2 linked regions of the Canis lupus familiaris genome follow. The protein of the gene in region 2 interacts with the protein of the main gene of each other region in a pairwise test. Links are inferred from orthologs where the notes say so. Each region holds a gene or a part of one and is shown on either strand. Other genes may lie near its edges.

Region 1 (3,806 bases), on a different chromosome or scaffold from region 2:
TAAGCCACCTGGGCTGCCCAAGATATACTTTAATATATTAAGTTGATCTTTTCTGTGAATCAGGGCCACTAAATAACTTATTTTTTAACACTATGTTAAACACATCTTTTCCCTAATTTTCATTACTACTCTATGAAGTGGGGATTTTTTCCATTTTGTAAAGGTGGAAGCAAGGCTCAGACATTCTCTTGATGTCATTAATGATTAGTAGCTTAATATTCATTGAGTGCTTATTGTTAAATACTTCCATTCATTTCTATTATAATTATCATTTCATAAGAGCTCATAAGGCTATTATCCCATTTTACAGATGAAATGAATGCACAGATTTAGTAACTTCCTCAAAGCTTCAGAGCTAGTAGCACAACTGTAAAATACACCCAGTGAATTGGACTTCACTGTGTTTCCCAGCTTTACTAGAATTGCAGATTGTTACTAGAATCAACCTTTGAGAAAGGAAAGATTCATTTGAACAAAGTACAACCCAAGCAATGCTTAGGTTTTGGACAGAGGTTTTTACATGCTCTGATCATATTAACTCCTTTGGTGGTTCATTTCCCCTCAGAGTCAGAATGATGAAATATAAATTATATTCAGGGTTGGATAATTAGACCTTCAAAGTCTCAACGTCTCTCTGGCTCTTCCTTCACCATCAGCTTTCCAAGCCCCTTGAAAGGTAAAGAAGGTAGCTCAGTTTATTTTCATCAAGTGTTTCCTGCTGGAAAGCTTATCCCTACAGGGTACCTGGGTGGCTCAGTTTGTTAAGTATCTGACTCTTGATTTTAGCTCAGGTCATGATCTCAGGGTCCTGGGATCAAGCCCCATGTCTACCTCCACACTCAGGGCAGAGTCTGCTTAGGATTCTCTCTCTCTCCCTTTTCCTCTGCCTGCCCCACCCCCACTCACGCTATCTCTCTCTAAAATAAAATCTTTAAGACAAACAAAAAAATAAAATAAAAAATAAAAAGACAAACAAACAAACAAAAAACAAGAAAACTTACCCCTACATCATCCTCTGGAGACTCCTACATGTGTTTAGAAGGTACATGCTCTTTCTTTGCCTCTAATTTGGAGGCCTACAGCTGTTAGGCCCATTTAGTGTGGAGGGTAATCCAATCCCTCGACACCAGGAAGACAGCTGCAAGTTGAGAGTAGGCCAAGCCTACCGATTCTTATTCTAATAGATTTTCAGACTTGGAGAGGTAGCAAGACAAAGTGGAAGAGTTGATGCTGAATGTGGTCTGTTGGTTGTCTGTGGTCCTTTTTTTTTTTTTTTTTTAATTATTATTTATTTGTTTCACAGAGCACATAAGCAGGCAGAGGGGGAGGGAGAAACAGGCTCCCCACTGAGCAGAGAGCCCGATGTGGGGCTCAATCCTAGGACCCTGAGATCATAACCTAGGCCAAAGGCAGATGCTTAACTGACTGAGCCACTCAGGCACTTCTATGGTCTATTTTTCTATTTTCTACTCACCTTTGGCCAGAAACGAGAAAGGACAGCTTTTCTGGCAAATGGACCCTGGTTAGAGATTCAGAAATATCAAGAAGACTGGTTATAGATGAAGGATATGGAACCAGAAGCTACCCCTCTGCTCTTAGGGAGGGGTGACTAATCCCATACCCTTGTAGTGAATCTTCCATTTTGAAAGCTAGAAAAAAAGATGGGAGTGGGGGGAAGAACAGTACCAGGATACTAATGAGCTACTGGGGACTTAGGGCATGTATGGGTGCATCTGGGTGTTCTTCAGGCCAACTAAAAGTTGTTTGGTTTGGGGTGCCTAGATGGCTCAGTTGGTTAAGCATCCAACTCTTGGTTTCAGCTCAGGTCATGATCTTAGGGTTGGGAGATGGAGCCCTGCATCAGACTCTGTGCTGAGCTTGCAGCCTGCTTAAGATCCTCTCTCTCACTCTGCCCCTCCCCACTTCTTGGTTTGCTGTTCTTTGAAGACCTGTGGTGGTGTGGTGCTGGGGGACCTGGGTGGCTTAGTGGGTTGAGTTTCTGGGTTATGGTTTCAGGCTCAGGTCATGATCTCATGGGTTGTAGGATAGAGCCCTACATCCTGCTCCAGGCTCAGCTAAAGTCTGCTTAAAGAGTCCCTCCCGGGATCCCTGGGTGGCTCAGCGGTTTGGCGGCTGCCTTTGGCCCAGGGCGTGATCCTGGAGTCCCCGGGATCGAGTCCCACGTCGGGCTCCCGGCAGGGAGCCTGCTTCTCCCTCCTCTGGTGTCTCTGCCTCTCTCTCTCTATGTCTATCATGAATTATTTTTTTTAATTTATTTATTTATTTATGATAGTCACAGAGAGAGAGAGAGAGAGAGAGAGAGGCAGAGACATAGGCAGAGGGAGAAGCAGGCTCCATGCACCGGGAGCCTGACGTGGGATTCGATCCCGGGGACTCCAGGATCACGCCCTGGGCCAAAGGCAGGCGCCAAACCGCTGCACCACCCAGGGATCCCTCTATCATGAATTAAAAAAAAAAAAAAAATGATGAGGAATTAATGGGAAATAAACATATAACAGTTTTCCATCTCTCCATTTCAGCTCCCTTGGCAATTGAGGATTATGTAGTAGGGCAAACTCCACTTCAGATGCAATTCTTATTTTATTGTTTCCCATTCTTGCCACGGAGTGTCAGCTGCCTGGGACCCTCTCAGTGGGATAACCTTTTAATGGTGGATGATTTTAATTGCTAAGTCCTCATAGAAGCAAAGAAATGAAGAGATTTATCTTTTCTCTAAAATTAATTGCAGCTGCAATGTCCCTGTGTTTAATTTTACCTACTTTTTTTCTTGCAGGATTGTTGAAGCCTGAAGTCCCCTCCCCTTCCCCCCTCCCCCCTTTGCCGCTTTGTGGCATCCCCCTCCCTCTACCCTTCCCCATTCTGATAATCTAGCCATGACTAGCAGAAGCACAGCCAGGCCCAATGGGCAGCCCCAGGCCAGCAAAATATGCCAGTTCAAATTGGTCCTGCTGGGTGAATCTGCAGTGGGGAAGTCTAGCCTGGTATTACGTTTTGTCAAAGGGCAGTTTCATGAGTACCAGGAGAGCACCATTGGAGGTGAGTACCTCAGGGAAAGAAGAGGGTCAATGATTAGTGAGGCTTTTGAAGGGAGATCGAGGGATCTGACTGTGTAGCTGGCCTTTTTAAGCTCCTTGGAATGGAAATCCTTTATAAAACTGGAAAAAAAAAAAAAGTCCATAATGCCAAAAAGTAGTTATATGCTTGTCCCCTTGCTTCCTAGAAGAAAATTAGGATGACCTTGGCACACCAAGGTCACTTAATTTTTTAAAGCCCAGTTTGTCTTCTGCCTCCCACTTCTCTCTTAATCCAATTGAAGTTCAGTTGAGTGTCATCTAGAACAGGGTTGGCTTGGAGCAGTGATTCATAATCAGAAATGAACATCAGAATCTCTTGGGGAACATTTTCATCCTGTCATGCTTAGGCCCTATCCTAGATCTACTGATTAGCATTGGAACTAGAGTAAGGGTGGGGAGATAGAGACCTATACGTTTGGAAAAGCTTAGATGATTCGGATGTACATACCTGGTAAAAGAGAGGCTGGAACTAAATACAAAAGATAAAAGGTATGTGCCTTTTCCACCTTTGCTACCATCTCCCTTCTACTCCCAAAACAGGGTGCTAGTTAGTAAAAGACCTTTTATGAGAACTCCCATGTTACTCCTTTCCCGCTTTTACTAGTTACCTTGGAAATGTGGTGTTTTTGACCAGCAGAAGATTATATAAAAAAGTAACAGCCAAATAATACTGATAATAGTGTGATCTGCCATCAGGCTTTAAAATCTTCT
Region 2 (4,365 bases):
TAACCTTAATTGTTCACATTCCTCCTACCCTTTCAAGATGCCTTGGCATTTCGGTCTCCCTCTGCCTGACATGCCCCTCCCTCTTTGGAGCTGCGAATATGACCTCCTACTAGAAGCTTCTCCTGAGGATCCCAACACCCTCACACAGAGGCACCCAGGGCACACTTCTTCTATTACACAGCACTGTAATCACTGTTAAATGTCCACTTCCCCTACCTGGCTGTGAGTTTTAAAGGGAGGACCCATACCTTATAAACCATTTCCCAGTCCCTTGCATATGTCTGGTGACTACTGACACTCAATATAAATACACAAGGGGAAAAAGTAACTGTGAGAAACAATTCAAATTTCCCTATAAAAGAGTATACACACTTAACACAATGGTTCTCAATCAAGAGATATTTTTGGGGCAGCCCTGGTGGTGCAGCGGTTTAGCGCTGCCTGCAGCCTGGCCTGTGATCCTGGAGACCCGGGATCGAGTCCCACATCGGGCTCCCTGCATGGAGCCTGCTTCTCCCTCTGCCTGTCTCTGCCCCTCTCTCTGTCTCTATGAATAAATAAAATCTTAAAGTATATATATATATTTTTGGTTGTCACAAAAGGGGAAAGGGGTGGGGGGAGGGGTGGACTGCTAACCACATGAAGTGAGCAGAAGCCAGAGCATCATCTTAGAATGCAAAAGGACAGCCCCCCACAAAAAAAAAAAGAACTATCCAGTCATAAAATATCAGTAGTGCCTTGGTTAAGAAAGTTAGTTGCCGGGCAGCCCCTGTGGCTCAGTGGTCTAGCGCCCCCTACAGTCCGGGGCGTGTCCTGGAGTCCCGGGATCCAGTCCCACTCAGACTCCTTGCATGGAGCCTGCTTCTCTCTCTGCCTGTGTCTCTGCCTCTCTCTCATGAATAAATCAATAAAATTAAAAAAAAAAAAAAAGTCAACTGTCACCTGACTTATTCATATGTGATGATCGCATGTCACATCTCAGCAATGATCAGAATCCCAATTTTGCAGTTTCATTTGAAACTTCTATTAATAGTCGTGCATGCACCAACACATGGTCTTTATATAAGAACGGTCCTTAGACAACGGTAATGCTTAACAACATTAAACCACGAGGACGGGAAAGTATCCCGTATTTCCGAAAACTATAACTACCAGAAGCTACTCTTTTTTTCAAAGTTTATTCATGTATGTTTTTTAATAACCTCTCCACCCAATGTGAGGCTCAAACTCGGGACTCCTAGGTCAAGAATGGCATTGCTTCTCCAATGAAGCCAGCCAGGCGCCCCTACCAGACGCCACTCCTGAGTCAGGAAACACTTCGTTTTATTTATCAACTTTAAAGCAAACCATAGGCAGACTAATTTTCAGATGTGCAACTATAGCGGAAACACAGTCTGAGGGATGAGGGGATAATCGGTTCCTCCAGGTTGGACTAGAAGGAAACCCTCTCCAAGTACCACAAGTAAATCATGCACACTCGTCTTTACTGCTGGACCCAGGAAGGGACGACAGGGGTAAAGGGCATGTCCTTGCTATTGCTAAAATCATCAGCTTATCAAGATTTCTGACAAAACCACTGCAAAAAAAAAAAAAAAAAAAAAATCATCAGATGTCAATACAGGGCGGCAGATACAAAAGTTAACTATTTCTCCCCTGATGCACGACCAAGTCTCACATGACTTGACCATTTCACAAAGCTGTGCAGGAGCCAAGGACACTCCCTTTCCATATAGTGGATGACTCAACTGTCTTTGGCACATTCCTTGGCTAAATACTACAAATTCACTAATTTCTTCCGTCCTGTGAACCAGTAATCCTACTCCCTCAGTAACCAACTAATCAGTTTGCCCCAACTTTTCAATCGTTTACAGTTTGTCGCAGCTTCTCAGATTCCAAAAAAAAAAAAAAAAGAAAAGAAAAGCTATCCAAAACAAAACCTTGAGTGACAGCAACGCTTGTAGGAAATGATACTCTTCTTATTCTAGGAGTCGATCTCTAAACAACACACGTACAGCTTTCCAATGCTCTTGGCTTTACAGCTTCAGGTTTTTCCAGCTTTCCAGTAGGGACAGCGCTGGCAGAAAGTGACGGAGCGAGCGCTGAACACTAGACGAAGCGGACTGCGAATTTACTCTCGGAGAGCTCAAAAAAAAAGGTACCGGGGCTGAGAGGGGGAAACGCATTTTTAATTGGGGGACGGAAAAAAAAAAAAAAAGTTTCCAACAGTGAGTAATCTCCTCCTCCTCGGCGGGTTTCGCCAGGAAGTGTCGGGACCACGACTGGGCCCGAGCTAGGCCGGGCTTGGGCACGTTACCCCGCGAACCCGCGGCCCAGGGCGGCAGGTGCGCGCGAAGCCGGGCGGCGGAGGGGCCGGGCGCTCCCCGCCGGGCGAGGCACCGACTCGGGTCGGCAGCGGCGTCCCCGGGCCGGGGAGGAACGCGCCGCACCACACCCTCCCGCCCCGCCGCCCGCCGCGCGCCGCCCGCCGCGCTGACAGCCCCGCGGGGAGCGCGACGCCGGCCGGGCCTGGGCGCGCGGGGCCGCGGGGGCCTCGGCGGCCGCCCGGGCTCCGGCCCGCCCGCCCCGCCGCCCCGCCGCCGCCGCCGCCGCCGCCCGCCCTCCCCCGCGGCCCGCCCCCGGCGCCGACGGCCGAGGCCTAACCACCTCCCGGCTGCGGGGCCTACAGGAGGAAGGAGCCACCGCCTCGGCCCCTCAGCGCGGCGGCGGCGGCGGCGGCGGCGGCGGCGGCGGCGGCGGCGGCGGCGGCGGCGGGCTCCGCTCACGTGCCGCCCCGCGGACGGCTGCACTCGCTTACCCTCTGCAGAATCCTCCTGAACATGGTTTAAACGCCGCCCGGGCCGCCGCGGTGACTCTCCGGACCCTGCGCGGGCCCCCTCACGACCCGGGGCTGCGCGAGCGGGGGACACGGAGTCGGGAAGGCACCCGGGAGGAGGCCGGGGCTAGGCGGTGGCGGCGGCCGCTCGGGCGGCCCCGACTTCCCCACAGGCGGCGACAGGGAGCGCGCGCCCGCCGGCCGGGCCGCCCCCGTAACTGACAGCCGGGCGGGCCGCCCGCCGCCGCCGCCGCCGCCGCCGCCACGCCCTCCCGGCCTGTCCGTCCGCGGGGGGCGGGGCCTCGAGGGGCCCGGCCCGGGCCTGCGGCCAATCGGAGGCGGCGGCGGCGTGGGCGGCCGCGTGACGGACAGGCGGCGGGACGCTGGCGCCGCCCCTCCTTCCGGCGGGCCGGGGGACGCCGCGGCGGCGGAGCGCACGCCCGCGCTCCGTCAGGGGCCGTGCCCGCGCGGCGGCCGCGAGCCCGCGGGGGGAGGCGGGCGGGGAGCCCCGGGCCCCGCGGGAGGAGGGCCCCGGGGAGGGTCCGCGCCGCCGGGTCAGGCTGGTCGGCTGGACCCTGCTCTTGACCGAGGCTGCACGGGACCCTCACTTCCGCGGCAAAGCAGGGAGTCGCGGACACGCTTCTCCCGTCCGCTGGGCTTCCCGCCTCGGCTTCGATCCCGGGTCTCCTTTCTGTCCTCCCTTCTCGCTGCTGATTTCGGCCAGAGAGAAAGTAAAGAAGCAGAAGGAAGGAGAGGGAGAAACGAATTTGAGTTGGCAAGAGAACTTTAGGGGCGTCCTTTTTGGATCGTCGGATCAGTCTGTAATCGGCGGAGGTCTCTAACCCCTTCTCCTTGGGAAGCCCCTGCGTGGCCCGACTCCCAAGGAATTTCAAGTCCTGTGCTGCTAACAGGCGTATCCACTGAAGCAACGTTAATGCGTCTGTTTCAGTAAAAAAAAAAAAAAAAAAAAAAAAAGAGAGAGAGAAGAAGAAGGTCACAGATAAACAGGGCGTGTGGACTTCAAACTGACTTCCAGGCACCACGTCGTTACTTAGGTCCAAAAATCATAGCTGGGGTGGCTCGGTCCATGCAGCGTGGGACTGTGGATTTATTCTCAGGTCTGCGATCTCCGGGCAGTGGGAGAGCCCCGCCTGGGCTCCAGGCTGCGCAGAGTCGGCTTGAGAGTCTCTCTCTCTCTCTCCCTCAGCCCCTCCCTCCTCACATGGGCACCTGCCCGGCTCTCCGTCTCTCTAAAATATTTAGATCTTAAAAAAAAAAAAAAAAAAAATCACAGCTCCAGAGTCCCACCATTCTACTAGCATTCACAAGCCAAGGTTCAGGAGCTTTACCCTGGGACGAAGAGGGAAGACTTTAATATTGTTTAAATAAGAAAGAGGGATCCCTGGGTGGCGCAGCGGTTTGGCGCCTGCCTTTGGCCCAGGGCGTGATCTAGTCCCACATCGGGCTCCTGGTGCATGGAGCCTGCTTCTCCCTCTGCCTGTGTCTCTGCCTCTCTCTCTCTCTCTGTGACT

What was found.
Region 1: the proteins of EEA1 (region 2) and RAB5B interact in binary tests that used the Homo sapiens proteins (3 or more experiments, as listed by UniProt). The link is inferred for Canis lupus familiaris from reciprocal best matches to the Homo sapiens genes EEA1 and RAB5B.

Annotation. Positions count from the first base shown.
Region 1 is NC_049231.1:669,138-672,943, forward strand, and holds part of RAB5B (ras-related protein Rab-5B), read left to right. Parts: intron 1-2,794; 5' UTR 2,795-2,894; coding exon 2,895-3,057; intron 3,058-3,806. UniProt on the Homo sapiens protein: The small GTPases Rab are key regulators of intracellular membrane trafficking, from the formation of transport vesicles to their fusion with membranes.
Region 2 is NC_049236.1:33,556,218-33,560,582, forward strand, and holds the start of EEA1 (early endosome antigen 1), read right to left. Parts: upstream 3,009-4,365; 5' UTR 2,840-3,008; coding exon 2,816-2,839; intron 2,156-2,815; exon of another isoform or gene 1,782-2,155; intron 1-1,781. UniProt on the Homo sapiens protein: Binds phospholipid vesicles containing phosphatidylinositol 3-phosphate and participates in endosomal trafficking.